Tribolium castaneum: one gene and its partner. Each later gene encodes a partner of the first gene's protein in a complex. Links are inferred from orthologs where the notes say so. Each region holds a gene or a part of one and is shown in the gene's direction. Other genes may lie near its edges.

Region 1 (4,253 bases):
TTTGACTTGCTTGTCACTTGGTACGCACTTGTGGTCACTCAAGAAACGGTCACTAGGTGATTAAAAAAAACGAAATTTGTGTGTTCAAAATTTATTAACCATGTCCAAAATCCAGGTTTTGTAAGAATAAACATCAATGTAAAAAACAATCGCATAACTTTCATTTTTTGGGCAAAAAGTCTCCAAATGCATTCCCACCAAGTTGTTACTTTGGTCGATCATTGGAGCATTAACCCTTTTTCCACAAAACTCGTTCCTGCTTGAAATGTAACAAGAAACATGCTTCTGTTTGATGAAACCCGTACAGTCCTCGTGTTGATAAACACGAACATCAAAACTGAGCAATTTGTTGAATTTTTGCCTTTGTGCCAACGGGAGATCCACTCTCCTATCCCAAGTAAAGCTCTGTACAAATCGATCAAGTTTCGCAATTTCAAATGCCTTATCGTCAGTTGCATTAAAATGTAGCAAAACCAAACCAAAATTAGAAAAAATGACATTATTGACCCTTTTTGTCACTCCCCCGAAAGACCACCATGACGACCCTAATCTCAGAACGCCCAAATTTTCAACACAGTCATCAACAGCTAGGGCCCAGTTTCGCGCAATAACACCAACAGCACATTTGAAAAATCCTTCTTTTGCATCAATATATCGCTTTCCGAGAAGAGCGGCAATTGCTGGATTCTCTGATTCCTTACACTTTGCAAGAGTGAAGGTTTGGCTAAGAGAACTAATAGATCTTTTGTTAAGGGCATCAAGTTCAAATTCATATTCTATGTATTCGCGATCGCGTTTGTCGTAAATATTTAGAGTTTTATTTGCTAAATAACAGCATAGAGCGTCACATCTTTCCGAGGCAGGCCCAAAGGCCCCAAAGGCAAACGCTAAGTAAAGCGCGACCATTACCACGAAGAATGGGACTGCTACCATCAAAATAAGGTGAAGAACAGTTTGAAATGAGCTTTTCTACAACAGTTAAGTGGGTTATTGGAACATTTTCTATAAAGTTTTACCATGATTAACGCTAAATTATGTCAAAATTTTTGAATTTTAATTTATTTTTTTTAATTTCACAAGTTGTCTCTGGTGCGATCTATGCAACTAATATAACTCAAATTGTATAAAAAAAATTTTAACTAAAAAACTATAGATGACGTTTCAATCGACTGCTTATATTAGTTTGCGGCCTTTTGGACAATTTTATCAACAAGGGCGTTTTTATTTAAATTTTACTTATAAAAGTATAGGCAACTAGTTATTCAGTTGCCACCAAAAGTTGGTGCTTCTGTGCTTAACCTAACCTCTGAAACCTTGTGACAAGGAGTTGCTAGTTGGCACCAACTTGTTTCTCTCTGTTTCTTTTCCTTTCACGTCGTTCCATTGAGCATGAAAAGGACCAGAAACGAGACGTAAGTCTTGAATTTGTCACTGGCCATCGAATCTTGCCAATCCGGCCAAGATAAAGATATTTGTAAAACAACAAAAAGATGGAAGAAACCGTTGCTGTGCCAGCGACAGCCCCCCAAACGGTGGAAAACATATCACAGGTGAGCCCAATTGCTCCTTACGTTGCTCCTTCGTTCCGGAAAAGAGAAAGATTTGAGAAAAAATTAACAAACCAGGTCACAAGTTCAGAACGAAGTGGAGCACAACCGAGGCGATCTCGCGTGAATTCTTCTCAGTTTAAGAATGATTTTGCAGGAAAAGACACGAATTGACGCTGAGGAGAGCCACAAGTCCCCTAACGAGTCGGAGTATGACAGTGCAGGGAGTTACAGTGATGAAGAGGAGGATAAAGCGAGGTCGAGGAATTCCAGGGAGCACACTGATTCGGAAACTGAAGGCAGTGTAGGGCTGGAGCGGGAATCTGGCGACGGACAGGAGAGTTTGCCTCTCAGGAAGGTGGACGATGATGAGGACAAGAAAAACCCCCAGTACATACCCAAAAGGGGCACTTTTTACGAACACGATGACCGGACAGCTGATGACGAGTGAGTGCGAATAATTACACAGTTCATGTAGTGTGACTGATTAATTGTTTAGGCAAACAGCTGATAATGTAGAATTGGAGAAGGAAAAAGAACAGAAGAAAAAAGTATGGCAGGATAAGAAGGAAAGGTGGAGTCATGATCGTTTTAACGACTCTGAGCAAGCCCCCAAGTCCAGGGCTGAACTTGTGGCCATCTATGGGTACGATATTAGGAACGAGGAAGGTCCCCCTCGAGCTCGAAGGCGCAGACGATACGGGTGAGTTCCCTCACTGTGTTAAAAATCGGTTTAATTTGTTGCGCATGCATTTCCAAAGACGTGGCCCTAACAAGTATACAAGAAACTGGGAAGACGAAGATGCCTACAACAAACCGCCACCTCTTATTCGTAAAAAGAAACCCCTCAGAAAGCCCAATCAAGGCGAAGACTTTCCGCCTCTAAACCGCTCAAGTAATCAAGAAGACCCGCAGGATAGCAGAGATTACGAAGAGAAAACAGACCAGTACCAAGCTGAAACAAACGGTAACACGAAAAATTCAGTATGCGAGTCTCCGCAGTCTCCGCCAGTCCCACCACAAGAATCCAACAGGATGCAGCAACGCGTCGGTTCTGGCCGTGTGGTTAAACCAAAACGCGAAATCAAGGATTCAGATTATAGGGGTTTTACTACAAAAACACGTCAAGTTAGGAATATGAAAACTGATCAAAAAGTCGTCCCGAAATCCTCGAAAAAAGACGATTTTATCCAGTCGCAAAATTTTACAAATAAAAATAACAACATACAAGAGCTAGAAAAGGATTTATCAAAATTGAACGTTCAGGATGGGGTGCATAAAGGGGGTAAACACGGGGGACAGAGACAAGGCAGCGTCCCACCAAGACTCCAATCGGAACAAAAGGGCTCCAAACGGTACAGTTCCATCAGACAGAGGTCGCTTCCAGAGTCGGCAACGCCGCCGTTCTCGCAGCACTCGAATTACTACTCAAATGGTAGGTTCAAATTATAACATCATCACTTAAATTTATTTTCAAGTATACGCACAATACAAATAATTTATGTTATGGTTATGATTTTGCGCTAAATGTTACTGGTCGATTTTGTTTGGTTTTTGATTTTTTTTTACACAAACACAAAGTACAACAGTAAGTGTTAAAAGAAAAAGAAAATATTTTTGGCCATGAAGTAGATTTTAAGTAATAAAGAATGATTATTATTGTTGATGGGAAATTTTTTTCTGAGTATTAGATTTTGATGAGATTTTTTAGTTTTCAGAATTTTTTTCTGAATTAAGTAAAGCAGTGAACGCATTTTAAAAGACTTTCTCCCCTAGAGTCTGAGTGAAAGAATGTACCCTGTAAAATAATATCAAAAATGCTTCTTAACACGGCTGTAAATCATTGCGGAAAATAGCTAAAATGTAATCCTTTTTTGCCCTCTTAATTATAGTCTTGAATATATTTTCTTAGGCAACCAATTCGCAATATATTCCTTTGGACATTACATTTGATAAAAAATAATTTTCATCTGGTAAGTAGATGGGTCCAGGACGACCTTAATTCGGATCTAAACTAGTAAATATTATAATTGATTAGTTTAACTCTGACTAAAACATTTTTGGATTATCATTAGACCCCTCAGTGGTTTGAGGCCACGCTGTACCTACTAAGCGCCCCCTGGCCCTTAATTAACATCAATTTTTCCCAACTGTAAAACTAGAGACAGGATATAGGTAGTTTGAAAGTGTTACAGTACAGTATAGTGAACAAAAAATTTCGGGCACTTAATTAACGGCATTAAAAAAAACGATGTGGTTTAGGCTTAATGAGACGAATGTTTTTAACACGAAGGTTTATGAAGATGAAATGTTGAAGATCTTTGATTTTTTGCTCGCGACGGTACTTACAGGAAACATTTTTTGATAGGTACTTCTGGACCGCGCCAACATTTTTTGGTTGAACAAATGAGCACTTACCACTTTTACGTGTGATTAATTTAGAAATTATGAGTGCAGTCACCATACGCAGTCAGTGTGGGAGCTCTTAACACTTTTGCATAAATCAGCAGCACAGTCTGAAAAACACTACATTGATATTACGTGTTTTATGTGCCTTATGACCCCCTTTAGCATTTTTCAATTACCCAAAACAGTTTCCACAGATTTTTCGTCTTATTTGTTGGATTTTCTCAAATCATTTTCGAAATGTCATCCGTCAAATTTAAAAGAACGTGCGCATGCGCAATAATTTTTAACGTGTGTATT
Region 2 (2,718 bases), on another chromosome or scaffold:
ATAATTTAAAAAAAATGTAAAGATGGGGTTATAAAAAAATAATCCAAAGAAGAGACTGGATTTTAAATCTAGAGACGACTAAAATAATTTGAAAAACATTTTTAGAAATATTTTGAAAAAAGAGCAATCTAGAAAAGAATTGGTACAAAAGAATACTAAAAAAATAATAAAAAAATACTAAATAAAACTGTAGAAAGGGACAGAAAGTGGAATCTAAAGGAGAATTTAGAAAATGTAGAAAGCGTTTATAAAAGAATTTTGATGAACAAAGCATTTCTAAATCAAAGTCCATACGATGAATTTATAAAATAAGTTTATTTCCTATTTCATATTTACAGATGGTTTAGAACAATGAGAGAAGAATGTTAAAAAAATAGTGACACAAAATCAAAGCATAATTTTGGAAGATCTAAACGAAGGATTTTGAAAAGTCGCAGAGTAAAATCAAAAATAAAATTTTTAGGATGTATTAAAAAAGTGATTTCAAAGAATTTTGAATTCAGTCTATTAGCTGTTTTTTAAACTACAAAAACGCCAACGTCACATTTTGTCTCAAAATTAGCTGTTAATGCTGTTATGAATTTTTGATGCACCTAAAAAAAAATAATGAAAGTTATAACAAGCGAATTTTTAAAATTTTGATCTAGGTATCCTTGACAGTTACCTCAACAGTGAAATATATTACGTAAATAACTTCAGCATCGCTTTATCTGTCAATATATCTAAAATATTCACCGAAGAACATAAAAAATTATGCTGGATTCTTATTTCCCTAAAGGACATTGGGTTAACTTAACTGTTGTGGATTACTAGATCAAAATTTTAAAACATCGCATGGTACTTTCAATGAAAGATCTAAACATTAATAACTGTTTTACAATTTCATCAACCTTGGCGTTTGTATAGTCTTGAAACAGCTAATATAAATACAAAGAATATTAAAAAAACATTTGGAAATGAAGTAAGAAACGCCACGTTAGCGTTTATATAGTTTTGAAACAGCTAAATAGAAATGTATTATGAAACATTTTCGGGATCTAAATATGGTTTTAGAAAAGAATATGACAAGAATGTTAAGAAAAGTCTAGGGACGAGTACTGAATCCATGCTGAGGAATAAATAATTTGAAAGAATGTTAAACGAAATTATAGAATTTTGAAAAGACGCAAGGGAAATGTTGTGTGTTATTATTATTAGATGTTATTAGTGTTTTGTGCAATAAAAATAAATGTATTTTTTATTTTATTTATTTTATTCCGTGTTTTTAAATCTGGAGAATTATGGTGTTACAAGTGGCACGGTTGGCAACGCTACCGCGACTTCAAACGTCAAAGAAGCATCCCAAATTTATGCTAAAAATCGGTCTTTTTTAATAAAAAAAACGTGTGTAGTGTCGTTGTTACAATGGCAGATGTTTTGGACATCAACGATTCCGTCGAATTGGACGTGGAAGACGAAGGAGACCGTAGGCAAGCCGTAACATAACCTCTCCTTTTCCTAACCTCACATTTCCAGAGAGCGTTTTGCGCCTGAAAGATAAAGTTGTAAAGCGGAAAGGTCGCGGCTTTGGGCCTGGAGAGACCAAGGAACATGAGAAAATTCGAGGATATGAAAGCATAGATTCCGGGGATCACGGAGACGAGCCTGGGCCACAGAAATGTAATTTGCATTTTAAACAGTTTTAGTGTTGTAAACAGTTATTTTGCGTTCTAGCTGTGGAGGGGTGGATTTTGTTTGTGACTTCGGTGCATGAAGAGGCCAGTGAGGATGATTTGAGTGAGAAGTTTTCCGAGTTTGGGGCTATCAAAAATATAAGTATCAACTTGGATCGTCGGACGGGTTTTTTGAAGGGATATGCTTTGATTGAATATGGGACGTACGAGGAAGCGTTTGCGGCCAGGGAGGCTTTGAATGGGTCTTTGTTGTTAGGGCAAACAGTTGGAGTTGACTGGTGTTTTGTTAAGGGGCCCAAAAAGTAAGTTTCTTGGTTTTGAATGGTTAAATCTTAGTGATTTGATTTCTTTTCAGGTCAAAGAAACGTGCAAGGAGACACTGATTGTAACTGTAAATTATTTATAACTCAATTTTCCACTTATATCCATTAATTTCTTAAGATTACAAAAGTAAGGTTCTTTGGTGTATTTTATTTATGACATTCAAGAAGTAATAAATTGTGAGTTTTTTACGTGTGAAGTGTATTTTTTCTATAGTTTGGGACAAGCAAGTATTCTCAAAAGACTTGGTAAAAAGTACAATGTGATCATTTAAAGTTATGGTTACAATAGATTTTAAAATTGTTTTAACTTGGATTAAAACGGTGATTATCAATTATCACCATTAATCCAACTCAAGTTTAAATAAGGATCGGTATCAGAAACATATAAAAATAAACAGTCATTTATTGTAAAAAAAACACTAATAACTGTGCTAATAACAAAAAACAATGTGTACTCTGTTTCTGTGAATTGTAGAATTGTCAATGTCACAATCAATAGTGGAGTAGTTGTTTCAATACTATAAAAACATCAACGTTGCATTTTCCCTTAAAATTAGCTGTTATAACTTATTCGTGGACTTAAAAAAAATAACAGCTAATGTAATTTATATTTTCAATGAGATCTAAGTATTAATAACTATTTTATAATTTCATTAAAAAAAATAATTTGGTAAAATGCGACGTTGGCGTTTTTATAGTTTTGAATCAGCTAGACCCACATT

The links.
Region 2: btz (region 1) and tsu share a complex: the UniProt entries of both Homo sapiens proteins name them as parts of the mRNA splicing-dependent exon junction complex. The link is inferred for Tribolium castaneum from reciprocal best matches to the Homo sapiens genes CASC3 and RBM8A.

Annotation. Positions count from the first base shown.
Region 1 is NC_087396.1:15,135,887-15,140,139, forward strand, and holds the start of btz (protein CASC3), read left to right. Parts: upstream 1-1,411; 5' UTR 1,412-1,490; coding exon 1,491-1,550; intron 1,551-1,704; coding exon 1,705-1,994; intron 1,995-2,046; coding exon 2,047-2,250; intron 2,251-2,308; coding exon 2,309-2,982; intron 2,983-4,253. UniProt on the Homo sapiens protein: Required for pre-mRNA splicing as component of the spliceosome. Core component of the splicing-dependent multiprotein exon junction complex (EJC) deposited at splice junctions on mRNAs.
Region 2 is NC_087399.1:11,508,573-11,511,290, forward strand, and holds tsu (RNA-binding protein 8A), read left to right. Parts: upstream 1-1,289; 5' UTR 1,290-1,404; coding exon 1,405-1,465; intron 1,466-1,515; coding exon 1,516-1,659; intron 1,660-1,713; coding exon 1,714-1,975; intron 1,976-2,028; coding exon 2,029-2,056; 3' UTR 2,057-2,185; downstream 2,186-2,718.